4 linked regions of the Saccharomyces cerevisiae S288C genome follow. Changing the gene in region 1 together with any one later gene gives a genetic interaction. Each region holds a gene or a part of one and is shown in the gene's direction. Other genes may lie near its edges. The genes, in order: RIM11, STP2, HXK2 and ERR1.

Region 1 (7,452 bases):
GAGTATAATACGATATTGCAATAATATAAAATCATACATTCATATAATATCCATTACGTACGTACATCTTACATAACACATTTTTACCCCCTTTTCTTTTTTTTGTTTTCCTTTTTTGTTTTATTTAGCCGCCCGCGTTTTCCTAACGTTTTCCCAACATTGAAACCAATTCGTCATATACCTCACTTTCCATAAATTGTTTAGATTCACAGTGGGAATGACTTCAGAACACTTCAATTTACAACCAAATTTCACTAAATCGTTAAAACTACTGTGTTCAGAATATGGTACGTTAAAAACTTGAAATTTGTTGTACTTTTTGTATTGCCTCAATATACTCGAGATTTCAAACCCATTCTCATCATCATTATCTCGATCATTCTTCATTAGTTCTAAGCAATATTCTGTATTGCCACTCATTTCATTCTCATCATCATCGTTTTTCTTTTGATATTTTAAACCAAAATTGTGACTCCACCCGGTAGGTATAAACCCGACAACATCTTCAATGTCTTTCACATAGTCTGTTTCCAATTCTTTTAAACTTTTCAAGTAAGCTTCTATGGTTTCTTGACTTTTCAACACTCTTATAGGTACCAAATGTACGGATGATTCATGTAAATTGCTGGTGAGTAAGCTTTCGTCCCACATGTCATTTTGATTTTCGTTGTTTTGTAAAACTGTTAGCATCATTGAAAATTTAACGGAATTCGGCATAACAAATAATTTTGTTTTCAAAAATTCACATATCTTGATGGCTAGCTTCTCTTTTCCAATAGTATATGTTCCCACAAGAAATAGGACCCTGTAACGATGAGTTGTCAATGTTTTCTTTCTCTGAAAGTGAAAAAGGTTCCTTTGTGAATCTCCAAATGTTTTGTTTTTACCATGTTTTATAAGCCGTAATGTAAAATCAGCCACAGTCTCGCACACAGAATGTTGTGAAGGAAAGTTGTATCCCATAGTCATATATGTTGTATCTAAATAAACTTGGTCAATAGTTTCATTCGCTGTCTCGGCCAACCACTTCTGAATTGTCTCAATCATTTTGGCGTTGCTTCGAAAATCCCCCGTGTGAAGAATTTGTCTTATAGGCTTATCATACGAATTTGCCAGAAACTCCTGGAAAAGCATTATTATTGCACCGGGACAATGGTTAGCGTCCAACGTAACTACTGAAATGGTATCTGTTATCCAAAAGCGTTTATTCATGGGTAAAATTTGGATTTCATCCATTGGAATTTTGAATTTTAAATTTACTAATATTGCAGTGATCTTAGAACAGTAAAGTGTTTTCTTGATCGGATTCTCATCAGGATTGTTCCAAGATTTTTTGAGTCCAATATAGTGATCAGAATGAAAATGAGAAAGAAAGTACTGAGAGATAGTCTCGCTGGCCTTATAATTGAAACCATCCACAACTATTTCGTGGCCATTATTGAACTTAATTATCTTGAAACTTGGTAAAACAAGTTTTACTCTTGTTGGTTTTTTTGACGTAGCTATATCCCTCTTCGTTTTTGCAGGAGATGATGGATTAGAAATAAAGCTCCTGATATTCTTTTTAGGTGTTCCCATATTGCTCGGGTCACTGCCTATGCAAGTATCACAGTGTGTCTCTCTTTCGTACAATTCTAAATGAGAAAGGTTTTCTAGACAAATAGGACATTGAATAACTTCTGTAGAGACTTTAACATTTACTTGCTCCTCCAATTCCGTTACTATTCGATCTTCGGTCCTATTTTCTATTGCGCTGACTTCGTTATCATGCAAGCTAACTAGTTCTTCCTCGTCTGTGTCTATGGTGATTTCGACCTTTGCAGTGTCTTCAAGGCAAATGCTATTGTGATCGTCATCGTTAATAATTACTGGCTCTGTATTCTTATTGGATGTTGAACAACTGAACCTTGAGAATGAATATGAACTGGAACGGACAGGTAAGTTCGATGAAGTTGGGATGTTGAATTCTGTCAAAGTTCTCTGCCTTTTAGAGGATGTATGTGTGTTCTTATGAAGAGTTTTCCCCTCACTTGTACTGCTAGCGGTGCTACTTCGTTTCCGCTTTACTTCAGATCTTCTTATTTGCACTATAGATTTCCTTGACATAATCAACCGACCACCCAAATTAGTCACTAGTGCGTATGCTGCTTAACATGAGTTTTGACGCAGGTATTTGATTATGTTTATATTGCTATTTTACTAGTACTTTTTCAGTCCGTTTCCATGACAAAATCTAAAAAGCCATCGCACTAATTTATAAAGATAATAAGAGGGAAGCTTAAGGTGTAGAAGAATACATGGGACTACTAAGTATTATCAGGAAACAGAAGCTCAGGGACAAAGAAATTCGCTGTCTGATTCTAGGACTAGACAATTCGGGGAAGTCAACGATAGTAAACAAACTATTGCCCAAGGATGAGCAAAATAACGATGGTATAATGCCTACTGTGGGTTTTCAAATACATAGTCTGATGATAAAAGATGTGACAATATCTCTATGGGACATTGGGGGGCAACGCACATTAAGGCCATTTTGGGATAACTATTTTGATAAGACACAAGCGATGATATGGTGTATAGATGTGAGCCTTTCAATGCGGTTTGACGAAACCTTGCAAGAACTAAAAGAATTAATCAATAGAGACGAAAATCGAATAGGATACGAGTGTGCTGTTATCGTTGTGTTGAACAAGATTGATTTAGTGGAGGACAAGTCCGAGCTTCATCGAAGGTGTTTACTGGTAGAGAGCGAGTTGAAGTGTCTGTTCAAGCCGGACATCCGAATAGAGCTCGTCAAATGTAGTGGCGTTACCGGAGAAGGTATTGATAACCTGCGTGACCGTCTGGTGGAATCCTGCCATTTTACCCAATAATCGTCTAAGATGTGAGCACCATATAAAAACTTTAAATAATGTCAGTATTTATAGCGTGATAGTTCATTACCCGCCGACTGTGCGCATTCGTGGCTTCTGCTCACTCCGGATAATAATACTACCAAGGGGTTCTGTAAGGCTTGCGGGTTACAAAGCACGGGTCCATTGAAGATCTTACACAAGAAGGAGTGGTAGGAAGACCAGCAGATTATTTCCAATCGGTCGTTGCCATTGTCTTATTTCCTTTTCTTTCTGGCGCATTGCATTTTAACACCTTTTTTTCCAGAATAGCCAACCACCGACGTCTGATTCACACATTACTGGGCAAGATCTTGACATAGCATTACATTACAACACGGCAACACTAATCACGCAACGCTAGAACTCGCGCAGGATGAATATTCAAAGCAATAATTCTCCGAATCTCAGTAATAACATAGTGTCAAAACAGGTTTACTACGCCCATCCTCCACCTACGATAGACCCGAATGATCCGGTGCAGATATCTTTCCCTACCACCGAAGTAGTTGGGCATGGTTCGTTTGGTGTGGTATTTGCCACTGTTATTCAAGAAACTAATGAAAAAGTTGCTATTAAGAAAGTCCTGCAAGATAAACGATTCAAGAACAGAGAGCTGGAAATAATGAAAATGCTGAGTCACATAAATATAATAGATCTGAAGTACTTTTTCTATGAAAGGGACTCCCAAGATGAGATTTATTTAAATTTGATACTAGAATACATGCCACAATCTTTGTACCAGAGGTTACGTCATTTCGTCCATCAACGTACGCCGATGTCAAGATTGGAAATAAAGTACTACATGTTTCAATTGTTCAAGTCATTGAATTACCTCCATCATTTCGCGAACGTCTGTCATAGAGACATTAAGCCTCAAAATTTATTAGTAGATCCTGAGACCTGGTCCTTAAAACTGTGCGATTTCGGCAGTGCAAAGCAATTGAAACCTACTGAACCTAACGTTTCCTATATTTGTTCACGGTACTATAGAGCACCAGAGCTAATCTTCGGCGCAACAAATTATACCAACCAAATCGACATATGGTCCTCTGGCTGCGTAATGGCGGAACTGCTATTGGGCCAACCAATGTTCCCTGGAGAAAGTGGTATTGATCAACTAGTGGAAATCATTAAAATCTTAGGTACTCCATCAAAGCAAGAAATTTGCTCTATGAATCCCAATTATATGGAGCATAAGTTCCCGCAAATTAAACCAATACCATTGTCACGTGTTTTCAAGAAAGAAGATGATCAAACTGTGGAATTTCTAGCTGACGTTTTGAAATATGATCCACTAGAAAGATTTAATGCTCTACAATGCCTGTGTAGTCCATATTTTGATGAACTAAAACTTGATGACGGTAAAATAAATCAAATAACAACTGATTTAAAATTGCTAGAGTTCGATGAAAATGTCGAATTGGGCCATCTATCTCCCGATGAACTATCATCTGTAAAAAAAAAGCTATATCCGAAGTCTAAGTAATGATAGCACCGGAGGGAGCCCAGGCAAGAATAATGGGAGAAGGAAGGAACATATATACGTATGTCTTTTTTTAGTACTATTATTACTGTTATTATTATGAGTATTGTTTTTGTATTACCATCATATTCTTATCATTATTAGTAGTAACAGTATTATGTTATCATTACTGTTATAATGAATACAAATTATGAAAAAAATAAGGTAAAGCCAAAATAAATTGTAACTTTTTTATGCCATTTCACTTCGAATTATGTATAAAAGCCGTATTCTTTGCCAGTACGAAACTATTTTAATGACACCTTTACTTTAACCGGGTAACAACTTCCTTAAATGGGTCGACAAGGTTTTTAGAGTATAAAGGGGCAAGTGAAGGTTCATCATCGAGCTGATGTAGTGGGTGTTTTAGTAAACGAAGAAGCACCTTAGAACCAAATAATCTAGCTAGTATAAACCGAACCCAGAGTAGCAAACAAACCATGGGTAATGTTCCAGGGAAAATAGACCAGGAAGATAGTTTTAATGATGTCAGGCCAGATTCCTCATATAATACTACATCATCGAATTCTGTCATCAAACAATATGATGAAGAAGCCTCTTCAAGGGTGAGAACGAGACGCACGACGTCTTTGGTCAATAATATTTTAAATGGGAATAATGCTCGTACAAAAACTGGTTCTCATCTATCCAGCACTAGTAGAAGAAAGACGTCACGGGAAAAAGAGCTTGCTAAAGAGGCACATGCTAAACAATTGGTTGTGAGGTGTAGCGAAACTGTAGATGGGGGGTTTTTGGCCCCATTTGGCTGTTATTCTTTTGAAAAGTTGGACTATGATGCTACTGTCGTTAAAAATTTAATAATCAAAAGAAAGTTAGCGCCGTTTTACACTCCTTTGCAGGATTTTGATGAAAGTTGGACTAGAGATGAGTTGATAAAAATTGTTGACGGATTGCCCTTGCATGACACGTTCGATGAAAATTTGGAAGAATTCGAAGACGTACCGATAGGCAATTTAAGGAAGTCAACATTTAATGAATTAATAGACAAATCTTTATCCAAGAAGGAACAGAGAAGAATGCACGCAAAGATTTTTAGAGCAAGATTGTATAAGAAAAGAATTTTATGGCAAGAAAATGAAAATGAGACGTTTTTGGAGAGGAAATTGGAAATGAAAAGAATTGGCAGCAAGTCCAGCAATGTTGAAGATAATACCAGTAGCCAGCCAAGGAAAAATTACCATTTACCAAGTGACGATTTGAAGTATACTCTTTACAAAAATGGGTCGGAATGCCCTATTTGTTTTTTATACTTTCCAGGGCCTTTCAACTATTCCAAATGTTGTCAACAGCCTATTTGTACCGAGTGTTTTGTACAGATTAAGAGAGCTGATCCTCACTTCCCTCATGACGAAGTAGACCCAACTGAACCACAAACTAATGACAGTGAAAAGGACCCAAATCTTCTTACCTCTGAGCCAGCAAATTGCCCCTACTGTGCAACTGCTAGTTTTAGCATCACTTATCAACCACCCACAAATCGTGAAACTGGTATAGGGGGTATGCCAGCCGACTCATACGTGTATAAGGACGCCGCCATATCAAGAGCTGATGGCGGTCAGCCAAACATATCAGCCATTACTTCGGATACCATTCGTCCTGATTGGGAGATTAAATTGAACAAAGAAAGGGCAAGGTTGATGAGGAGATCCGCGAATGCCACCGCTATACATATAAGTAATAGGTTGATCGATCCAAGCCATAGCAGAAGGAGAAATACAAGTCACAGTATAACCCCTATTCATGATGAAAGTACGTCAGCTTCAAGATCTCCTGAACCGACAATAAACGAACTTGAAGATCAAATGGTTAGAGAGGCTATTAGGTTAAGCCTTGAAGATCAGGACAACCGAAAAAAATCAAAGAATAGAAACACCTCTTTGAGACCATAGCATCACAGTTTGACATTTTTTACAATATTAAAAAAATCCTTTTTCAAACGTTCCAGAAGTGCACTATTTTTCTTTTGTTCCATCTATATCTAACGGAGCGTCACCAACCTGACCTTCCTTTTGGCTTTAAACAAAATGATCCGGAAATATCGTCACATTTATTGTGAAGAGAGAGAAGTTTTACAGTTAATTGTATTGCAAGCTCTTCCCGCTCTAGAAAGTTTTTGTTTTGTTCGTCCTCAAGAATTGAGAGTTCAAGTATTTCACCTCAAATTTGCATTTGAATTTTAGTAGTAACTAATATAAGATTCCCATCCCGCATCCGCCACTGAGCAATGTCATTCTCTCTTTTCTCGCCTTTTTATGGATAGAAGCACATAGACGATGGATATCAGAGAAGCGTTCACATAATTAAGCAGTTAGTTCCAAATATGCGTACAGTCTTTATAGATGAGAGACTGTTAAAAACGACCTTCCGTTCGACCACTCAAACTGTAGTAGGAGTTCTTTTCTCTATTTATATGCTTGCAATGTTCGCAGAAAAAGCACCATCTACCTCACCTCCAGCTTAGCCAATTTTTGGTTGGTAAACCGTTCCAGAAATTTTTCAGTTTTGGGCGATACCATCAATGTGTCATTACAGAATATTCTTGTTGGCATTTTTTCAGGTCTAAAGAAATTTCGATTTGAGGTAATTGCTAGTGCTGAAAGGAAGAAACACAGAAATCTGACTGAACAATGACTTTTTGGCGTGTTCGAAGAAATCAAATGCATTATATATAAACGTACGCATAGGTATATATTCAAACTCACATATATAAAATCTTCTTTTCTCTTCTCACTTGTGTCAGTGCGTGACATCAGTATGCGCTTTGGATGTTTATCTTATCTGAGCGTCACAATTCAGTGATAACAGAATATTTTGTTATGAGTGATGGCTTCCCATTATACAGTGTACATAAAATTATACCAGATATAAAGACATTAAAAAAGATGAAACATATTTATCAGATTCATTTAATTTATTTCTTCTTTTCAGCTTCAGCTTCAGCCTTCTCTCTAGCCCTCTTTTCTCTGATACCTCTGAATTTCTTTTCGGATCTGGCTAATCTCAAGGTTCTGAAAG
Region 2 (8,046 bases), on another chromosome or scaffold:
ACAAACATCTGGTCATCGCCTTCTTGGTTCAAGTCCTTGCAAATATCCTGTAGGTTAATTCTACTACTGTTGTTTCTATCAGCATCCTCATTTTGCGTCACCGTTTCAGCATCTCTGTCAGTGTCACTTTTGACATTAGAAATATTTCCGTCTTCATCGAAAGCAGCTTTTGCTCGTCCGGTACTCTGAACACGCCTCCTAGTTTCATACCTTTCTGAGTACTTCAGTACATAATCATTTAGAAAATCAGAACCACCGGCAACACTGGCGTTGATATAATCTAAAGCTTTAGCCTTTAGCAGTATTCTCTTGCATGCAAACAAATCTTTATTGTTGATCGGATCATCACAGTCAAGTTGAATACCTAGTTTTCTGGCCTGAATAATCAAAATTTTCATTGATTGTATGGCATCTGCCCATATCACTTGAGCATACTGTAACCTTTCTTGATGGGAGAAACCGCCTTGATGTAATAATTTTAATTGTTTTAAAACCGTTGATTTACCTGACTCACCGGCACCTAATAGTAACAGTTTTATTTCATTCTTGTCACGTTGTTTCTCCAGCTGCAACGATTGCTCGATGACATCATTGGCTCTTTTGTTCTGTAGAAAAGGATCACTTTCGTCTCCTATTGTTTGCGTACTCACTGTACACCCCATTATTTCCTACCTTAATATATCAATTTATACACCTCTGGATTATTGATGTGATGCTAAAATACCAATTTACAGTATGAATAGCTTCTACTCAGTTTGGTCTTAGAAATGGTCAAAAATGTTAGAAACGGAGTGACAAGAAAAAATGAATAACAGATCAAAAGATTACGAATAATATAAAACGTAAAGAAATTGGTGGAATTCTACTATCCTCTTCATTTTAGACTATTTTTTAATATTTCCCTTTAAGGAAAACAATATGTAACAAAAAAATTTCTGCTCTCCATTTAATTGCATTTCTACAAGGAAGAATACGCAGAAGGACGCGCAGAGCCCTAAATTGATGTGCTTTTTAACATGCTGAGCCGAGTGCGTTTCGGTGAAATAACACGAAGATGCGTTTCAAATTGAAACTAGTCAGTGTTATCTGCATGAAAAGGGAATATCGTTATGCATTCAGTTTTCCAATAGAGACATTTTTTTTTTTTTAGATTCGGCTTGCTTTATCCACCTATGATCTTGTTTTCAAACAACATGTGCCATGTAAGATAAAAAGGTAAAGATGAAGTACAGAAAAGAGTATAATGTTACTTGTATATACAGGATATGAATCAATAATACTAATTATAACGTTGAGTCGAGTAAAACAGCTTATGGATTTCTTTTCTTATTTTCGTCTTATCATTACTGCTTTAATGCACATTTCTAAAACTTACCGGCTGCGTTAAATGATTGGCCCATTTTCTGCATGTTTTCACCGACTTGAACATTGGTCTCAAAATATTTGGCCACACATCTGTCTAGGCACGAAGATTCATTCTTATTCAGCTCACCCTCGGAATAAGAAGTATTGATACATTTTTTATAACAGTTATTAACCAATTTATTGAACATGTCTGTGACCAAATCTAGTTCAGCTTCCGCAGCTTGAATCTTTTGTTGAGATGATAATTGAGGCTGACCACCACCGAAACCTAAGAAAGACATGTTTTTCTAAGTATGATAGTTCCTTCTTTTGCTTGTTTATCTGTTAAAAGACATGAGAGGGGAACGAGGAGAGTAATAGTTCTTTAGAGAGCTTGCTCTTGTACGTTCACTGCCAGCTCTCTCGCTGAAAAAATTAAAGAAAAAAAATGTCCGATAGCTTCAGAGGGTGATCATCAGCTACGAATTGGGAAATCAATGCAAAAAATGCTTCCAATCGGATTTGAACCGATGATCTCCACATTACTAGTGTGGCGCCTTACCAACTTGGCCATAGAAGCTCTAATAGTGATAGGACCCAGATTATATTTAGTGACTTGTTGATAAATGTTTTAAAATATTACCTTCGTGTCGTTATCGTTACTGAGGAAAGATTTGCAAAAAATAATTACATACTTGGGCTCTTCTGAACGAACAAGTTAACCAAAAAGGTGTATATTACTTCCTCTTGTTTTGTTTCCGGGCTAATGCTTACCTTTCCTTTGTTTCCAATGTTCTTCTTTAACACCAAAACATACTATTTGAGAAATGGGTGAATGTTGAGATAATTGTTGGGATTCCATTTTTGATAAAGGCTATAATATTAGGTATACAGAATATACTAGAAGTTCTCCTCGAGGATATAGGAATCCTCAAAATGGAATCTATATTTCTATTTACTAATATCACGATTATTCCTCATTCCGTTTTATATGTTTCATTATCCTATTACATTATCAATCCTTGCACTTCAGCTTCCTCTAACATCGATGACAGCTTCTCATAACTTATGTCATCATCTTAACACCGTATATGATAATATATTGATAATATAACTATTAGTTGATAGACGATAGTGGATTTTTATTCCAACACTATTTGAGGTTTGGCAACTGTTGAAATTATTGTTAGGACATTGTTAAAAAAGGTTCTTTTATTAGGTCTACAAAAACAAAAAAAGTTTTTTCACGAGGACAGCGTGAATCACAAAGGTGAGGTCAATAGTTTTACATAATAATAAATAACGTTTTTTTTTTCTTCCTTTCATGTGTTGCCTTTCTTTATCCAATTACATTGTCAGCCCTTACATTTCAGTGCCTATTGAATTTGTTGACCACTTCCCATCAGCAATACCATCCTCTTACGCAATATATGATAATATACCCGCGACATAAATATTAGGTTAAAAACAGACGGCAAAATGTGCCTTGGGCGGCAAAATCATGAGAAGCGCACATGTCGTGATATCAATAGCACGGAATTCCAGAAGAGAGAAAATACCAGCACTTATAACAAATGATCACAGTAAGCGTGAAAAAGAAGAGCCTGTTGCTACAAAGAACATTGAAATGATAAAATAGTGAAAGAATTCCAATGAATGGGAATATGGATGGCATTTTGGCAAGAAATTGGGCGGTAAATTTTCGTAAAGCTGATTGATGGTCAGCAAAACTCTCTTCAGAAGAACCAGAGAAATGGGCCAATTCTCACGAAGAAAATTCTTATAGTGTGTAAGCATAGGTAACGATCACGATACCATTAATTACCTGCAGTCAAGAACGAGATTTATTAACTGAAGAAAAAAAACAGACCATTTCCCACAAAAATTGTCGACGTTTAACTTGTGACTGATAGAAAGTTATAAAGTAAGCTATTAATGGAGGTTCTGAACGCATGACATGCTCCTCTAAGGGCTAGAATAGAGATTATAATGTTATTTGAAGATTGAAAGTCTGTTACCCTTCTTAGAGTCATCCATTCGAACGAAGAGTATCTTTTTTTAGAATTCTTATCATTTTTTTTTTCTCTTCACATTCCAATACGGGCAAAAAGCGAGAAAAACGATGATTAATAAATGAAAAACAGTGATTAATCATCCGACAAACAGACAAATGCAAGAGAGCAAAAAGTTGGGGAAGTAAGGAAATCCATTATCATGCCTATCTTATCACTATCTTCAACACGGAACAGCGTGTTAACAAGGATATATGACTACCTTAAAGCATTAGTGCAGCAAGTGATTGTGCCCAATGTGGAAGACGACAAATCTTCGAAAAGTACTCCTTTCGAAAAGTTAGAACCTGCGAAACAGAACCATCCACAGAAAGACTGCTGTGCTACCGAAAAGGACGATCTGGTTGACGTGAGCGAATTATTTCCCAAACAGAACAACAAACAATTGAGTCTAACATCAAAATCTTCAGTTGTACCCTGTGCTTTAAATTTGGATAACCTAGAAACACCTTTCTCAATTAAAATTGATAATAATGGTGCAGTCACTACACAGTTGAACTTGGACGAACCGATTTTACGGGGCCCTAGCCGCGGCGAGCCAGCAAAGTTACAGAATGACTTGATAAGTTCTCCCCCGCTAGAGGAATCCTATATCAATAATGACCAGTACAAAGCTCTTTTCCCCTCTAATTTCCTTCCAATCACGCCCGTAAGTAGCGTAATCACTCCTGCATCGAAGAAAAGTATTGATGAATCTCCCCTATCCGATGAGGTTCAAGGAATTGCTGATGAGTCATCCGAAACTTTACCATATATATGTCACTATTGCGATGCTAGGTTCCGAATCAGAGGTTACTTAACACGACACATAAAAAAGCATGCGAAAAGGAAGGCCTATCACTGTCCATTTTTTGATAATAGCATTTCGCAAGAATTGCGATGCCATACTTCTGGGGGGTTTAGCAGAAGAGATACCTACAAAACACATTTGAAATCTAGACATTTCACTTACCCAGAAGGTGTTAAGCCTCAGGACCGTAATAAATCACCTGGAGTGTGCACTCAATGTGGGGAACACTTTAGCACTAGTGAGAGCTGGGTGGAAAACCACATTGAGGCTGGGAGTTGCAAAGGTTTACCAGAAGGCTATTCAGAGGGAATACGAGAGAAGAAAAAGACGTCTAAAATGAAAATGATAAAGACTTCGGATGGCCAAACAAGGTTCATCTCATCCGACGAAAGTGTTTCCGAACCAGCTTTACAAAATAAGAATTGTATAGAAGCGACAGTAATGCAGTCCAAGGAACGCCCTAATGACAAGATCATACCAACCAAAACCGAAAAAAACGATTTTGGAATAGGCACTCAATGGTTTGAACGCAAACAAATATCAAGACCTACACAAACTACACAATCAAGAGGACCTACAGAAGTCCAAAATCTCAAAGAGTGGTCAATAATATCTCCCCCAATTTTGTCACCCCAAAATGCATCTTCTGTACCACAAGAGTATCAATCATCAAGATACACATTGCATATGGATTCTCCAGCATTATCCTCTGCCTCCTCAGCGCTATCTCCACTTTCAGGCGATCCAATAACAACTACAGAAACAAATAAGTCATACCCATTGGATTCAGAGCAATCGTTGTTGGAGCCAGACAAAACCGAGGAGGACGCAATCAATCAGTCAAAGGAAAGCAATATGATTTCCATTAATGAGATGTTACAGAAGCAAATGGACTTTGAACTTCTGGGTGAGAATCATTTGAAGGAGACTCAAGATTATCTGGCCCTTTACAAAAAAGCTTATGGGATAGAATTTTAAGGTTAATTCAGGTATTATTTTTATGGCGGTTTCAGGTATTTTACGTAATATTATTATTATATCATTTTTGTAGCAATATATTATTTTTAGCGGTGCTTTATAAAACAATGGATACTAAGGATGGTTCAATTCACTCATCATTTGGATTTATCACTATAAAAAGCAGTAATGAATCTTATATACATTTATTTCAGTGAATCCATATTTAAGAGAGCTTCCTCAGTGACCCCTCCCCAAAACTCCTCTCCTCCTGGGCCCTCTCTTGATTAATTTAAATTGCAAAAAGATTTACAAGTTTGCGAAAAGACTGCTTTATTTCCGCTTGGCCTGTGAGCTGTGTGTTCTCTCTTCTAATCCAGTAGGCATGTTGCATAAATAAACCTTATATTTGATGTTGTTTTAGAAATGTAATCTATATATAATTTCGTAGTATAAATATTTATAAATAAAGAAGTGAAACCATACCACTCATAAATAATGCGGGATGGTTGTCCAAGTTTGAAAGTAACTAAAGAACATAACTCGATGTCATATCAAACGTACTGGCAAATAAAATAAATCATTGGAGATGGATGAGTGTGGCGATAAGGCCCACGTGAATGTACAACTTCTCTCTTTTTCTGTTTTTTTTTTTTTTCTCAGTTACAAACCTTAGATCTTTTGTTCTGGATTTCTCTTTTCCCAGATGATCTTGGCTGGACCGGTTGGAAGAGTAACCATAGATGTAAAGTCAGGAGGTGGAACGGTCTTACCCTCTGGGTAATGCCATTTTAATGTTCTGATAAAAATGGACATTAGAACACCTAGCTGACAGTAAGCAAAGTGTTCACCGATACATCTGTGTCTACCACCACCGAAAGGTAAGTATGGAGAGCTGACACCCTTAGAAATGGCACCGAAACCGTAATCGACTTCTTCACCGACGGAATAAGAGGAGGCAGAATCTTTGTTCCAACGGTGAATGTTGAATTGGTGAGCATTAGGGAAGTATTCGTCTCTTAAATGAGTGTAACCTGGAGAAACCAAAACGTGATAACCTGCTGGGATGACATAAGAAGTGTTTGGAACGTGCATATCTTTCATAACCTTACGGAACAAAGAGTGCAATGGATGGTGCATTCTTAGAGTTTCCTTAATAGTTTGGTTCAACAATGGCATTTCTTGTAATAAATCGTAGGTCAATTCCTTCTTACCACCATCCAAAACACGCATTTGTTCTTCGTACAATTCTTGTTGGACATCTGGTCTTTCAGCCAAGTGCAACAAAATCCAAGCAGAAGTGGCAGCAGAAGTATGTTGACCACCCATTAAGACACCAATTAACAAGTTAGCGATTTCTTGATCAGTCATCTTCACACCATCCTTGTAGGTAGAGTTCTTCATCAAGGAATCGATCAAATCTCTGTCTTGAATGTCGTTGTTCTTTCTTCTTTCCTTAATCAAAGACATGTAAGTACCGGAGATAGCCTTTTGAGCGTGATCTCTCTTTCTATAGTGTTCCAATGGTAAGTTAGGGAAGACGAAGTTGATTGGAGTGAAACCCTTATCCAAATCACTGTACAAGTAAGCAAAATCGGTATCCAATTTTGCTCTCATTTCCTTACCCAATAATGATCTTGAAGCGGTGAAAATAGTCATTTCAGGTTGAGTAACCATCACGTCAATAGTACCAGTAGTTCTTTCATTCAAACGGAAGTTTTTGGAGTCTCTGAAGTACTTGTACACTTCTTCAGCAATCAATGGAACGTAGCTCTTGAAGGCTTCTTTGGTTAGAGCACCCTTAACAAACTTCTTTTGCTCCATCAATCTAGAATTTGGACAATCGTAAATAACACCTTTACCGAAAACTGGAGTAGTCAAATGAGCGTAAGCAGCTTCTGCTGAAACATCTGCCAACTTAGCGTTGAAGACAAATTCGTGACCCTTTGGTCCTAAATACACAGTCATGACTCTTCCTAACAAAACGAATGAAAAAATATCACCGTATTTCTTTTGACATTCTTCGAAAAACTCGTATGGCTTCATACCGTACACAACAGCACTACCGACCCATGGAATCCAGTAAAACACTAGAGGTGGACGGTCCTTTCTCAAAGAATATAGTAATTGCCATACAATATTGTAAATGAAAGGAATTATTATGATCAAAGAGATTCTTTGGGCCAATGGTAAAGCCAAGAAATGACTTAAACCAATGTTTACGTATTCCAATGCCTCTCCAACGATTGACTTGGTAGCAGACATCCTTGTATTACTCGTTTGTTCTGTTTCTATTCAAGCCTGCTGCAATTGTGAAGGAAAAAAAATTTTTTCTGGAAACTATTAATTAATATAATGAAAAATTATTACTTCCTATCGAAAATACACACGCTGAACGATACTGCTTATCAATCTTTTTATAAATAATTTACCAATAACGAAAAGGGAAAAAGGAAAAGGGAAAAAAAAAAAGACATTGAAAGAGAGAATTAAGAGGGAATAAGAAAACTAAGGGAAAATACGCTATCTTATATAATGAATACACATGGAGGGCAATTTTTAGAGGCTTTTCGAATACATGCGAGTACGTAAACGTCGTTAACTCGTGGAGATGCACAATAGGATGTGCTCATACCAAGAAAAAAAAAAAATTCAGGCATAAAATCGATGTCTCCTGCAAGATACCTACCACACTTATTGTGTTCTGCAAGAGACTATTGTCATCTGAAAAGCGATTATCTTGAAATCTTAGTTTCGTTTCGTTTCGTTTAGGGCCAGCGCTTCGTTTGTCTCGTTTTTCGTGGATTATCGGCCTTTAAGATTGTCCAACCCGGCAAATCTTGCACGCACATTGTATGTGCGCTGCTCGTATAGTATCCACTT
Region 3 (7,823 bases), on another chromosome or scaffold:
TATGCACTCTTTTCGGTGCTGGTATCATGGCTTTGATCGGTAAGTGGGCTTAAACCAAAGCGAAATTCTGCATGTTCCATATAGATTCTATTTCATATTTTATAGTTATTTATTCTTTAGTAATAGCAAAAAAACAGTAATAATTTTTCTTTAACAGTCTCGGACAATAAATACGCTAAAGAAGATGAAAATGACAACTTTTACGCTGGTGTGCACAAGTGGTACCAGAATACGTGGCCACCAAAACAATGACGGATATAGGGAGAACCAAGTCTAGAAATTACAAATGTTCTTTTGACGGTTGTGAGAAAGTCTACAACAGACCTAGTTTGCTTCAGCAACACCAAAATTCGCATACCAATCAAAAGCCGTATCATTGTGATGAGCCGGGATGTGGCAAAAAATTTATAAGACCGTGCCATCTACGAGTTCACAAATGGACTCATTCACAAATCAAGCCCAAAGCGTGCACATTATGTCAAAAAAGATTTGTCACAAATCAGCAATTAAGAAGGCATTTAAATAGTCATGAAAGAAAAAGCAAGCTTGCATCAAGAATTGACCGTAAACACGAAGGAGTGAATGCGAATGTGAAAGCAGAACTCAATGGCAAGGAGGGAGGTTTTGACCCAAAATTACCTTCCGGCTCTCCAATGTGTGGTGAAGAATTCTCGCAAGGTCATTTGCCTGGATATGATGACATGCAAGTGCTACAATGCCCATACAAATCATGTCAAAAAGTTACCAGCTTCAATGACGATCTAATAAATCATATGTTGCAACATCATATAGCAAGTAAGCTTGTTGTACCATCTGGAGATCCATCTCTGAAGGAATCGCTTCCAACCTCTGAGAAATCCAGCAGCACCGACACTACATCCATTCCACAACTTTCATTTAGCACTACTGGGACAAGCAGTAGTGAAAGCGTTGATAGCACTACGGCACAAACCCCAACTGATCCAGAGAGTTACTGGTCGGATAACCGGTGCAAACATAGTGATTGTCAAGAGCTTAGTCCATTCGCATCTGTATTTGATCTCATTGACCACTATGACCACACGCACGCCTTCATTCCTGAGACGCTGGTAAAGTACAGCTACATTCATTTATATAAGCCTAGCGTCTGGGATTTATTCGAATACTGAACGCCATAGAAGAGCAATTTCCGTCCTCTACTCATGTGATTCGAACTATGAAACAAAGAAAAGGCAAGAGTAAATAGCGTGATACCTATTACGTATTACGTATACATCCTATTATTCTTGAAAAAAAGTGCGGGGCTCCAGAGCTCCACATTGGTGACCCCAGAGTATACTGCTCTTTCTAATGCCTTTTCCATCATGTTACTACGAGTTTTCTGAACCTCCTCGCACATTGGTACCTAGAAATGGCTATCATGCCGGACGGCACCGGGCAATAAACCGGACGGCACAAAAAAATCGAAGAAAAGAGATTTCTTTTTCTCGCGGGCAGTTTTTCCGGTCGATCGACATTCGTACGGTACTTTCTCTGTTTCAGGGACATCATGTTGTAAAAGAAAAAGACAGTTTAGGTAATCGTTCTTTTCTTTCTGAAAAATTTTCCACGACGACGACGACGACCACGAAACACCTTTGATTGCGAGATCCACGAAATTACCTCCTGCTGAGGCGAGCTTGCAAATATCGTGTCCAATTCCGTGATGTCTCTTTGTTGCACCTTCGCCACTGTCTTATCTACAAAACTATAAAAAAGAGTAATCCTACCCCATATCTAAAAAAAATTCCTTAACTTTTATAACTTAACTTCAAAGTTTCTTAATATTTTTTCGCTTTTTCTTTGAAAAGGTTGTAGGAATATAATTCTCCACACATAATAAGTACGCTAATTAAATAAAATGGTTCATTTAGGTCCAAAAAAACCACAAGCCAGAAAGGGTTCCATGGCCGATGTGCCAAAGGAATTGATGCAACAAATTGAGAATTTTGAAAAAATTTTCACTGTTCCAACTGAAACTTTACAAGCCGTTACCAAGCACTTCATTTCCGAATTGGAAAAGGGTTTGTCCAAGAAGGGTGGTAACATTCCAATGATTCCAGGTTGGGTTATGGATTTCCCAACTGGTAAGGAATCCGGTGATTTCTTGGCCATTGATTTGGGTGGTACCAACTTGAGAGTTGTCTTAGTCAAGTTGGGCGGTGACCGTACCTTTGACACCACTCAATCTAAGTACAGATTACCAGATGCTATGAGAACTACTCAAAATCCAGACGAATTGTGGGAATTTATTGCCGACTCTTTGAAAGCTTTTATTGATGAGCAATTCCCACAAGGTATCTCTGAGCCAATTCCATTGGGTTTCACCTTTTCTTTCCCAGCTTCTCAAAACAAAATCAATGAAGGTATCTTGCAAAGATGGACTAAAGGTTTTGATATTCCAAACATTGAAAACCACGATGTTGTTCCAATGTTGCAAAAGCAAATCACTAAGAGGAATATCCCAATTGAAGTTGTTGCTTTGATAAACGACACTACCGGTACTTTGGTTGCTTCTTACTACACTGACCCAGAAACTAAGATGGGTGTTATCTTCGGTACTGGTGTCAATGGTGCTTACTACGATGTTTGTTCCGATATCGAAAAGCTACAAGGAAAACTATCTGATGACATTCCACCATCTGCTCCAATGGCCATCAACTGTGAATACGGTTCCTTCGATAATGAACATGTCGTTTTGCCAAGAACTAAATACGATATCACCATTGATGAAGAATCTCCAAGACCAGGCCAACAAACCTTTGAAAAAATGTCTTCTGGTTACTACTTAGGTGAAATTTTGCGTTTGGCCTTGATGGACATGTACAAACAAGGTTTCATCTTCAAGAACCAAGACTTGTCTAAGTTCGACAAGCCTTTCGTCATGGACACTTCTTACCCAGCCAGAATCGAGGAAGATCCATTCGAGAACCTAGAAGATACCGATGACTTGTTCCAAAATGAGTTCGGTATCAACACTACTGTTCAAGAACGTAAATTGATCAGACGTTTATCTGAATTGATTGGTGCTAGAGCTGCTAGATTGTCCGTTTGTGGTATTGCTGCTATCTGTCAAAAGAGAGGTTACAAGACCGGTCACATCGCTGCAGACGGTTCCGTTTACAACAGATACCCAGGTTTCAAAGAAAAGGCTGCCAATGCTTTGAAGGACATTTACGGCTGGACTCAAACCTCACTAGACGACTACCCAATCAAGATTGTTCCTGCTGAAGATGGTTCCGGTGCTGGTGCCGCTGTTATTGCTGCTTTGGCCCAAAAAAGAATTGCTGAAGGTAAGTCCGTTGGTATCATCGGTGCTTAAACTTAATTTGTAAATTAAGTTTGAACAACAAGAAGGTGCCCTTTTTCTACTTATGTGAACATGTTTTCTATGATCTTTTTTTTTCTTACTTTTACAACTGTGATATTGTATAAACTTTGTTAGAAATTCACGGGATTTATTCGTGACGATAAATATTTATATAGACAAAGAATATGACGATTTATGAAATCTACATGATTTTAGTTTCTTTTAACAATTGCTCGTTTTTTTCTCTTGCTTAATTTTAAATTTTTTTGGTAGTAAAAGATGCTTATATAAGGATTTCGTATTTATTGTTCAAGTATTTAAAGACTAGATGTCTTTATTCTTCATAAAATTGCACGCCAATTTTAACCCTCTCTACACTTCCTCTAGATAGCTTGCGTACTTTCTTTTGTAGCGTGATAATTCTGGAACGAACGGAAGCACTTGTTTTAAGATCGTCCTTACTAATTCTCACAACCACTTCATACCCGCGATTTTTACGCGTGGATTCTTCTTTTACCTTTGTAGTGTTTGCATCATCAATGATTAATTCTTTTAAACTGGTCTCCACCTCACTACGCTTAGAAACATGGAAATCAAATACGTTATCTCTGATATTACCACCTGGATGAACACCGCAAATCACATACATAATCGTACCAATATACTTCGTCCACCATACAATTCTCAATGCTTCAGCTTTATCACCTTCGCGTAGAACTACTTGTTCTAATTCTTGGGAGTATTTTTCTTCAGATTCCGGAATGTTGCCGCCCCATCTACTACATAGAGCAATTCCTATCAGCGCTCTAGCTCTGTGAGATAATCCATGACAGCCGGCTATTATCCCTCTTGTAGCAACATGTAATGCAGCTGTTGGTTGTAACTCCTTTGGATAAGAGGCATGAACAAATGCTAAGTTACATAAAGCAGGAGCAATCCTTTCGTTTACTATTTCTGGTATATCTTCTTGTGGGATTGATGTTCTCAATAGATATAGATATTTTTCAGTAAGTAATGGAGCATAAGGACGGGACGCAATTAGCAATGGATCTTGTGCACGAATTTCTTTTGGAAGAAGAGAATAAAGTGAACCCTCTCGAACACCACCCTCACTAAAATGTACAGCTTTGATCTGGGGAATCGCTTCAAAAACAGCACTCATGAACAAACCAACGGCAGGAAGTTGTAAAGCCCTTCTATCAGAAACCTTAAATATTTTATGCTCTTTTGAAGAACCTGGTATTTTTTGTTTTAGGAATAGATAATCTGACATAGACGAGAATTCTTCATAAGTGCAAGCATATCCGTTAATTATTGTTTGGATGGGATAACCTTCCGACTGGTAAAGAAGCAGATGTCCCATACCTCTTAAACCACCCCCACGGGTCCAAAGGTCAAATCCACCTTCTTTCTTGGCGTCATCAATCATTTCTTGAGGTATACCAATTTTTTCAATCGCATCTTTGTACGCTTCTTTAATCTCATAAAAAAGTGCCCTATTATCATCTGTTCTCATTCTTCTCAAAAGAGTTCCAGCTCCATATGGCAAAGATACAGGTTTGCTGGATTGCTTGACTTCTCCGTGCGAGCTTATTACCCATGATAACTGAGTACTACCACCTGCCACATCTAGATATAGACCTCTTACTGTATTAAATGAGGAAACAACACCATATATGCCGACCCTAGTTTCATCTTCCTGGCCTAATATTTCTACTTTCCAGCCAGTGCTACCGTAAACAGCATTAACAAATTCATCCGCGTTAATAGCATCTCGCGTGGCTTCTGTTGCAATTACTCTGACACTAGTTTCAGGTACACCAAAATCATCGCAAATTAATTTGAATCTCTTCATGGCAGAACAAACCTCTTTTATAATATCTCTGGGAATAGGGCATTTTGCGTTCGTATGTGTATTATATTGAACTTCGTATAGAGAAAGACCAACCCTATCTTTAAAAACACAAGGCATAATTCTTGCATGATGTGCAGCCTTGGAAGATATACTAAAACGAATACCATTAGAACCTATGTCGACGATTCCACACAAGTTTCTCGACACGACCTCAGTCTCGGTATCACTATCGCTAAGTGTTGACATTTGTGGCACGCCTACACTTTTCGTTCAAAACAATCCTTAGTAAAGGACACTTCCAAGAGTGAGTTTCTTTTTTAAAAGGTACATATGAATGAATTACTAATCTCACTTCGATTCTTTCAATTGATCTAGGAACTCCGCCGGCAAAGTTATCCTATCTCGGCATTCTGACCCGGATCGCTTATCGCGGTCATGTGACTAATAATTGAAATGATAAATAGCACGATATGTAACAATAGTAATATATCAATTGACAATGTCATCTTGTTCCCTAATAAATAGTAAAGGTTCCAATTGTTTCACCACTGGCTGCATTTTAAAAACAAAGCATTATAAGTAAACTCTCACACATGCTAACTTCTGTTGGGAAGCAATACAAATAACAGAAAGGATTGGGGTAATGAATATCAGTAATGTCTATTGTTCCCGGCCATGCCGCTCATTCAAACTCTATATCGGAACCCAAGAAATCCAGATCACCATTCGGATCACTTATTGAGCTCGCCGCTGTATTACTAGAATAACTATCGGATGATTCAAGATCAATAGGAATTATTTCAGGGCAGTTTTCGGGGCCTGATTTTAGGACTTGTTCACCCGCTTCCATAGACGACATCTGTTGCGATAGATTATAAATTTTTGAAGGAAGTGTATGAACTGTCGCAATATCTGTATTTTCTTCTTGCCACTGCTTTGGTTTACTATTCAGTCTTTTTTCCAGGTGAGGGGTTGTGTTGATATTTTTTGCAAGCAGTGGCTGGCGTATTTGATCAGGTTTTGATACTGGCTTGATTGAGGAGGGTCCTTTTTCTTTTATATACTTTACTGGAATACCCTCTTTACAACATAAATGTCTGCATTGCGTTTTGTCTTTGCAGCTATGAAAACACTCGTAATTGCCATTAGATCTTACTTGGCGGCCATTACTAAAATGTGAAGAAGAGTGTGCCTCCGGGTGAATAACTGCTGCAGATTCAACCGCCTTTGATGATTTCTTCCTTTCATTCAAATAATCTAGTATACTATCATCTGAGGATAGCGATTCTTCTAATCCATCTTTATGGGAAACCCTAGACGTTTTCCCCACTTCTCCGTCACTACTGCTTTCATAGAAGAGGCATTTTTCTAAACTATTTAGATCTTTCCTTATATTTGGTGTCTTCGCAGAGAACTGTGATGCCAAATGATCAGTGGAATATACGATTGTTTTGCCGAGTCCGGCGATTTCTTGGCAATGAATTGAGAATTCTATTTTTTCTAGTTTTGGTGATATTTTTGCTGAAATTCTAAAGCCCCTTGGTGACTGTAGTTTGTTAACTTGCAATCTTCTAAAGTCGATTAACTCTCCTGAGCTTTTCTCGGTTTCGATATCTAATGAGAGGTGCTGACCATGCCAAATGCTAGACTTGAATGTTGCACTAATCTCAACTTTAAATGTCAACCACAACTCTTCATTTTCTATTTTGCAATTTTCTAGTTTTGTTCTAATATTCAGACAAGGCAACAAAGAAATGTCGTTTTTAATTTTTATGCCGTTTCCAATCTTGAGGTTAAGATAGTATTCAATCTGAGTATCTGACAAATGCCCCATTTCTTCTAGATTGGTAATTCCATGTCGTATTAGCCTTCTTACTGAAACTAGTCCAATTGTTTTCAATTGCCTAAGAACCATTGGCGTGTTTTCCCAGCAGTGACCATTCAGGCTTCGCAGTAAGAACAAAGTATTTTTCAGTGATGTTCCATCACTTTTTTCAATAAATGTGTCTACCATGCATTTTAGTAATCTAAAACAATGTCTAAAAACGAGGAATTTATCCTGAACAAGAGTTTGATGTAGTTTAGAAGCGCCTTCGTATGATGGAAATTCTAACCCACCTAACTCATATTGAATCAAAAGAGAAACCTTTTGACTAACCCTGTCAATTATTTGGCTCTGTTTCTTCTCGGTTAAAAATGGATATTTCAAAAGTGGCGATAAATTGATTTCTTTGAACAATTTTTTTTCATTGTGCCTCACCCTCATAACTGAAAACTCTTCAGAAGTGGCCAGTAAATTTAGTATCCCTTGTAATGATAGAAATTTTTTTGCGTTAATGAATTGTTTCATCGACTCAAAGGATATATAATGTCGCGTCATTGCATTTCCGTACGCTGTAGATTTGTACTCCCCATTGCTGATATCGATTATTTTCACTTTTACTAAGGTGTCAAGCAAATACTGACAGAATTGATTTATCTGAGAGTCTTCAACGGAATGAAAACTAACGTATCTGTTCACCTCTTGATATGCAGCTGGATTCTTCCCAAATCTAACGTAAAAGAATGTGTTTCGTAGCCAATTTACTGCAGTTTCAATTGAATATACAGTTTCCAAAGAGGTTTCTGCTGCTAAATGCT
Region 4 (7,538 bases), on another chromosome or scaffold:
TAATGATTATGAAGTTTTTGAGATTTGGGGTGATACACATCTATGAATTACTAAGAGATTTGAGACACAGCGACAGTCATGCCAGCAAGATTTAAGATTTTCTTTATTTAGTGTTTATATACATATCAGATATCTGTTGAGTATTTTCTATTTTACCAAAAAAAAAAGATATGAAATCAAGATAAAACGTCGTATGAAAGACAAGGGAGCTCAGCAGCAATATCATAAAGTAAAGCAACAGCGCTTGGTTTATGTACAATGAACGATCTGAAAATTAGTTGGCAGCGGAGCTACGAATACATGTCAATATTACGTTACGATTGTATAACAGGGGAGGAGAATCGTGCACTTTGATGGGTATATCGAAAGATGGTGACTATGCTAGAGTCACTGTCAGTGAGGAGTTGCGATGTATGAAAGATTCACTGACATAAAGTGGCGCGATTCATGTAGAAGTGTAAATCACTTTTGACGCAATGATGGAAGAGATACAGAAGAGATACGGAAAAAATAAAACAAAAAACAACTGAAATAAGTACTAATGGATTATATTTATTGCCGCCATTATTATTTAGCCTCTGGTGGCTCAAGAATCTGCAGTTATTTAATTATTTAATCGAGCGTGTAATGCTCTGATGATTTTCAATCCGGTCATATCAAATCACAAGTTGAGCCATTATATTCATGTTTTTTGTACATTCACCACGTTCTGCATATTAGGTACTGAAACACGTCAGGCTATAACGGCGCTTTCCACCTACACTCCGGCCTTCGTTACTGCTCCGACCGTTCTCTGGTCTAATTGTTCATCCTGCATGCTAATGGGGATTATGCAATCTTTAAATGCTTACACTTGGATGAAAGATCACCAAGTCTTGTTTTTAGGTGTAACTACTGGGTACTGTGGTGCCCTGTCTTCCTTTTCTAGTATGCTGCTAGAGATGTTCGAACACTCTACAAACTTAACTAACGGTAATATCGCTAACCACACAAAACTGCCGAACAGAGCTTACGGTATAATGGAGTTTTTATCTGTCTTGCTCGTTCATCTTATGGTTTCCATGGGTAGTCTTATTTTCGGTAGGCAACTTGGTAAGGAGGTTATTGTTGCTTATGGATCTAGTTCGTTTTCGAAGCCATATACCCCTCCCTCAGACACTGTAAAGGAAAATGCTGGTGATGTTGATACACAAGAAATGGAAAAAAATATTCTAGAGTTTAAATTCAAAACTCCAGCACCATTTTTTAAGAAATTTTTTGATATTGTGGATAAACTCGCGTATGCACTAGCTTTTCCATTAATTATTTTGTTTGTGGTGCTGTGTGCGTATTATGAGAACTATTCGAGGGGCAAGTGGACACTACCATGTCTATTTGGAATTTTCGCTGGTTTCCTAAGATATTGGTTGGCAGAAATGTTTAATAAAACAAACAAAAAGTTTCCATTGGGTACTTTCTTGGCAAACGTTTTCGCCACTTTATTGATTGGCATATTTACCATGGTGCAACGTGGTAAAAAACACTTTTCTACGGACGTTCCAATTGTGAACTCGTTGAATTCATGTCATATTGTTTCTGCGTTAATATCCGGATTTTGCGGCACTTTGAGTACCATTAGCACGTTTATCAATGAAGGGTATAAGCTATCATTTATTAACATGCTTATTTATTATACTGTTTCGATTGCAATTTCATATTGCTTATTGGTGATAACTCTCGGATCCTATGCTTGGACTAGAGGATTGACCAACCCGATTTGTTAGGATCTTTTCTTTATACTTTTCCCTGCATAATCATCCCACTTTTTTTTTTTTTTTTTTTAATTCATTTTCAAGATTTTAGACGTTGTATAATACATTTTTACCCACTACTGCGGTTTATTGTAATATTTTGTGAGATTTTATGAATGCGTTCCATCATCTATTTACTACAAAACGATAAATTTCCCCGTTTTCTTTTACTTTTACTTCATTTAATATAATTCATATTTATTTCCCATGTACCAATTAATTACTCATAAAAAGAACAGAAATAGAAAAAAGTTGTATATAACAAGCCAAAAAAAAGAAAAAAAAAGGAAAAAAAAGAAAACACAGCTTATTTCAAATTGCAATCTGCGTATTTCGTAAGTAACGAATGATCTCACAGCATTGCTTTTTTTTTTTTTTATATATATATGTACATTACCTATGTCACATATGACCATGATGAATACAACACTAAAAACCAAGGCCTACTATTCAATTGTTCTCTATATGATTTCCATTCTAGCAAAATCGAGTGCTACCGACCTGCCGTTTTCTTTACCTTTCGAACCATTGAGCTGTTAGCCTTCTCTTCACAGAAACTGAAAGTCATTAAAAGCCTCCCCTTCAACAATTCCCTTGTCTTTTGTTTCAGCTATATAATGCGTTTATAGCTCTAATTGTGGTCGAATAGGAAGAATTTGCGTTAACACCCGTAACTAGCTTTCCATCTGTAATAGAGTAGTCATCCCAGGGATGGATTGGCGCCAAGTACTTGGCTCCATTCTTGTTTGCAACGCGTTCAACCGTTGTCAATTTTCTGCTCCTCAAGATGTCGTCAACTCCCAGGGCGATTTCACCCTCGAGTGGGAAACCTGTTATAGCTTTGCCTTCGATTAATGGTCTTGTTGTTTTGATATCTATTAATCCATCGAAAAGGAGCGGTCCATGACAGATGGCAGCGATCACACCCCCATTGGCATATATCTTGGATGCAATATCTTGCAGATTTTTAGCTTTGGGATAGTCAAATAGAGCACCATGTCCAGCAGATGCAAAGAATACTTTATAGTCGCTGGCGTTGACTTCATTTGCGGTCTTGATCCTCGCTAACGCCTTATTGAAGGCGGAATTTTTCGTTTCAAAGTTCATCTTATCTTCGCCACCAATAAAGCTCTTTGGCAAGTAATGTTCATCCCAGCCAAATCCACCAGTCTCAGAAACGAAGTCCACTTCGAAACCATGCTTTTCGAATGTATCGAACGATCGCAAAATCTCAACTACAAAAACGCCTGTTTTCGCACCATCTTTGTAGAAGGGACCGTGGTATGAAGTAAGAGATATTAGCGCTCTTTTTGGAGTCATTGCAAGGCCAGTTTTCTTTTTGAATGAAGGAGAAAAGTGTTCTAGAAATATGTTTTAGTTCTAAGTATCGTTGTCTGGAGCAAGCAAAGAAAAGCAGACCTGTATGTGCAACTTTCCTGTTTTCCATTAAAATCTCAAGAACCGACCCCTTGACTGTGCTCATATATCAAGTATCGGTTTTAAAGTCCCCTAATTGTGATAATTGCAAGAACGACAGTCAGAAAGATATTTTTTTTTTTCTTTCTCTTTACCTATCCTCCATAAAAATACCTATGCTGATACTGAATATCTTCATTTGCAGCTATGCAATATTTCAGATACCCCATTTTACCCAAGAGTTTCTTACTGGTGGTTGGATTTTCTTTAAGACGAGAAGATTACCAGTCCTGGATGTTCGTGAATGTGCCTATTGCGTCATCAGCGACTCCGCGCCAAGAAAAGAAATACTCGCATGCTCGGATTTATAGAATCGCATAATGGAAATACCTTCCTTAAAGGATGGAGATAAGGAAAAAATGACAAGAACAAGGAAGTACTTGGGAGCTTTCTCCGACATGGTAAATATTTGAAACTCACGCAGCTCTCCTGGAAAGTTGGATCTGGAAAGGTAAGGTTGTTTTTTTTACAGACATCAACCAAAATCGGTTCTTGTAGTAGACAATGTCACAGATCGCCACAAGTTGAAAAAAAAGTTTCGATGAACTGGATAAGGGGAGAGGTCACAAACAAAGTGTAGGGGGTGAGTAGTATAGTGGTAACTTGTTCATTTACCTAAATAACATTCTCACTAGAAAAGAGATATTGAAAGACTCCTCGTTTACCTAACTTGGCTGGTTCTTAGGTATATAATAGAAACATGGATCTGGCAGGTTATCACTTACAGTTTGCACTCCCACCAGGTTACAATTTTCATTATATATAGTTATTTTTTACCACCACTTCTTCTTCTTTCACTTTGTCTTGCAATAGAAATACCAAAACAAGGTGAGGAAAAAATCGAATCTCAACGATAAAAATATGTCCATCACGAAGGTACATGCTAGAACGGTGTATGATTCTCGCGGCAATCCGACTGTTGAGGTTGAAATTACAACAGAGAATGGTCTCTTCAGAGCGATCGTCCCATCTGGTGCCTCCACCGGCATTCACGAAGCTGTTGAACTTAGAGACGGGAACAAGTCCGAATGGATGGGAAAAGGGGTGACCAAGGCAGTCAGTAACGTCAATAGTATCATAGGGCCTGCTTTAATCAAGTCCGAATTATGTGTAACCAATCAGAAGGGCATAGACGAGCTCATGATATCGTTAGACGGAACTTCTAACAAGTCAAGGTTGGGCGCCAATGCTATCCTTGGTGTTTCCTTGTGCGTTGCTCGAGCTGCTGCCGCACAAAAGGGAATTACTCTCTACAAGTATATAGCCGAGTTAGCGGATGCTAGACAGGACCCCTTTGTTATTCCTGTTCCTTTTTTCAATGTTTTGAATGGTGGAGCCCACGCCGGTGGCTCTTTAGCTATGCAAGAATTCAAGATCGCGCCAGTCGGGGCTCAGAGCTTTGCAGAAGCCATGAGGATGGGTTCGGAAGTTTACCATCATTTGAAGATATTGGCGAAGGAGCAATATGGACCTTCCGCTGGAAATGTTGGTGACGAGGGTGGAGTTGCCCCCGATATTGACACTGCCGAAGACGCCTTGGACATGATTGTGGAAGCCATTAACATATGCGGTTACGAGGGTAGAGTGAAAGTAGGAATCGATAGTGCTCCTTCTGTTTTTTATAAGGACGGGAAATACGACCTAAATTTCAAGGAACCGAACTCTGACCCATCTCACTGGCTCAGTCCAGCCCAGTTAGCAGAATATTACCATTCATTGCTAAAGAAATACCCAATCATTTCCCTGGAAGATCCCTACGCCGAAGATGATTGGTCCTCGTGGTCTGCCTTCCTAAAGACTGTCAATGTTCAGATTATTGCAGATGACCTGACATGCACCAACAAGACCAGGATCGCCCGTGCTATAGAGGAGAAATGTGCGAATACTCTGTTGCTGAAACTCAACCAGATCGGTACTCTGACTGAGTCTATTGAAGCCGCCAATCAGGCTTTCGATGCTGGATGGGGTGTAATGATATCGCATAGATCAGGTGAAACCGAAGATCCGTTTATCGCTGATTTGGTCGTTGGTTTAAGATGTGGTCAAATTAAATCGGGCGCTTTGTCGAGATCAGAAAGACTGGCCAAGTATAATGAACTTTTGCGTATCGAAGAGGAACTGGGGGACGATTGTATATATGCTGGTCATAGGTTTCATGATGGAAACAAACTATAAAGGATTGTCTTGTTTCCTTTTTTTTTTTTTTTTTTTTGTTTTTTTATGACTAAATAAAGTAAATCATATGAGGTTTTATTTTTTATTTCGTTGATTTGGGTTACAGTATGGAAATGGGGCATTTGACACAAGTTATTTTATTCATATGTTTTATCTTGTAGGAAATCAAACCGTTTTTAAAGTTTTCCATTGCCTACACACAAAATCATTACGAATCTGTCTGAACAAGGGTGGACGTGTGGGGGAAGGCTGTTCCAATCAAGAAATGCTTACAACTCTACTAACACTGCAGTTTTTCAGCTTTCTGATTAATCTCTTCGGTTTAAATTTTTTAGCAGCTATTACTTTCTAGTAACCCTTATAACGCGGTTGGTATCAAATCTTCCTGATAGTACAAGCAGACCTTTGACCCCATTCTTGTTGTGTCTTGAAATCTTTTTTTCTGACAAAAGTAAGAAGTTACACCATAATAGAGAAGTTAAATAATGAAAGTGTATCGATCATAGAAATGATTTTATTTTTTTCAACTACTGTTACGGTCAAGAAACTAATACTGAGGATAAGTTTTCGCAACAATGATTTTGGTACAAGTGATTTAAAGTCTTGAATTACTTCAACACAATTTGCTTTGCGACGGTTTAGAATAACGTAATCGTATCAACGAATCCACTAGGCGCGCGTAAAAATTACAGACTCTAACAATATACGACTCCCAGCACATACCTACTATTCTGTACAATTCCGGGAAATAGGAGGGTACAGTATTATTTTTTCTCGGCGATCGTTTAGGGTATACTGGAGATAGGCTTAGCAATACGCTTCTGAACGAGGATCTATAGCAACTAAATTCAGACATTCTGCTATACCAAAAAAGGAAGTATCACAGGCACGGAAAAGGGTTTTATAAGGCACCTCGGCACCCCTATAACTGGCATTCTCACATTCGGCGCATACGAATAGACAAAGGCCCCAGAAAACAATACCTTCGCATACAGAATCTATAAAGATGCATGCCTCGTTTAAAAACAAAAACATCTTCATAGTGATCATGAAGTTGTGGGAAAGATGAGATATGGAGAATATGTGAAGTGCTAAAGGAGCATCTGTTAACGAATCGTTTAAGTGGTGATGACCAATGAAGGAATAGGTATAAATAGAGATACTTCAACTATATGCCTTCGAGAATATGTCTTTATTCATTTCTTTCCTGTTAAGCTTATATCAGCACTAACAAACAAAACAAATACAATGGTCAAATTAACTTCAATCGCTGCTGGTGTTGCCGCTATCGCTGCCGGTGTTGCCGCTGCTCCAGCCACTACCACTCTATCTCCATCTGACGAAAGAGTCAACTTGGTCGAATTGGGTGTTTACGTCTCCGATATCAGAGCTCATTTGGCTCAATACTACTTGTTTCAAGCAGCTCATCCAACAGAGACCTACCCAGTTGAGATTGCTGAAGCTGTTTTCAACTATGGTGACTTCACCACCATGTTGACTGGTATTCCAGCTGAACAAGTCACCAGAGTCATCACTGGTGTCCCATGGTACTCTACCAGATTGAGACCGGCTATCTCCAGTGCTCTATCTAAGGACGGTATCTACACTGCTATTCCAAAATAGAGAGAAGCTTTTACGAACGAAATTCCATAGACATTAAAAAGTAAAGAAAATGAAATAAAATATGTTATTCTATTGATATAAATACAATTTCTCATATGTAAATGTATATTAATATGACAACTCATTTTTGATCAATAACAGTGTTTGTGGAGTATTTTCTCAATACAATAAACCCAAAATAGAAACTTCTCTTTTGCGTCACTGTTCTGGAAAAGGGTGCATGGTAATAAAGCTAATAGGGTATGTCCAATAAGCAATACTGAACTTGGAAATGTGCGGCTTCGCAGCCTTTTGTCTTTCTATAAAAATGTGTCGTTCCTTTTTTTCATTTTTTGGCGCGTCGCCTCGGGGTCGTTTATAGAATATGCGTCACTTTTAAAAATAAGATTGCAGATCAGGGCAAAACAAGTAGCAAGTCATAGCAAGAGACCCTGATTTTTGTGACATAAATATTATTATTTCTTTGTTAGGTTA

What was found.
Region 2: mutations in RIM11 (region 1) and STP2 together harm fitness more than expected from each alone (negative genetic interaction), as found in Saccharomyces cerevisiae (3 studies listed by BioGRID).
Region 3: mutations in RIM11 (region 1) and HXK2 together harm fitness more than expected from each alone (negative genetic interaction), as found in Saccharomyces cerevisiae (3 studies listed by BioGRID).
Region 4: mutations in RIM11 (region 1) and ERR1 together harm fitness more than expected from each alone (negative genetic interaction), as found in Saccharomyces cerevisiae (3 studies listed by BioGRID).

What each region holds. Positions count from the first base shown.
Region 1 is NC_001145.3:542,858-550,309, forward strand, and holds RIM11 (serine/threonine protein kinase RIM11), read left to right. Parts: upstream 1-3,267; coding exon 3,268-4,380; downstream 4,381-7,452. Other genes in the region: GAT2 (Gat2p), read left to right, coding at 1-24; DNA cross-link repair protein PSO2, read right to left, coding at 121-2,106; Arf family GTPase CIN4, read left to right, coding at 2,298-2,873; SIP5 (Sip5p), read left to right, coding at 4,857-6,326; YMR141C (uncharacterized protein), read right to left, coding at 6,879-7,187; 60S ribosomal protein eL13 RPL13B, read right to left, coding at 7,349-7,452. UniProt on the Saccharomyces cerevisiae protein: Serine/threonine protein kinase that is thought to function in regulating kinetochore activity and entry into meiosis. Could phosphorylate IME1.
Region 2 is NC_001140.6:114,256-122,301, forward strand, and holds STP2 (Stp2p), read left to right. Parts: upstream 1-3,558; coding exon 3,559-5,184; downstream 5,185-8,046. Other genes in the region: GPA1 (guanine nucleotide-binding protein subunit alpha), read right to left, coding at 1-662; protein transporter TIM10, read right to left, coding at 1,365-1,646; ERG11 (sterol 14-demethylase), read right to left, coding at 5,836-7,428. UniProt on the Saccharomyces cerevisiae protein: Transcription factor involved in the regulation of gene expression in response to extracellular amino acid levels.
Region 3 is NC_001139.9:22,056-29,878, forward strand, and holds HXK2 (hexokinase 2), read left to right. Parts: upstream 1-1,879; coding exon 1,880-3,340; downstream 3,341-7,823. Other genes in the region: high-affinity Zn(2+) transporter ZRT1, read left to right, coding at 1-53; FZF1 (Fzf1p), read left to right, coding at 249-1,148; RTG2 (Rtg2p), read right to left, coding at 3,663-5,429; HFM1 (DNA helicase), read right to left, coding at 5,866-7,823. UniProt on the Saccharomyces cerevisiae protein: Catalyzes the phosphorylation of hexose, such as D-glucose and D-fructose, to hexose 6-phosphate (D-glucose 6-phosphate and D-fructose 6-phosphate, respectively).
Region 4 is NC_001147.6:1,076,149-1,083,686, forward strand, and holds ERR1 (phosphopyruvate hydratase ERR1), read left to right. Parts: upstream 1-4,127; coding exon 4,128-5,441; downstream 5,442-7,538. Other genes in the region: FEX1 (fluoride transporter), read left to right, coding at 636-1,763; HSP33 (glutathione-independent methylglyoxalase family protein), read right to left, coding at 2,397-3,110; seripauperin PAU21, read left to right, coding at 6,570-7,064.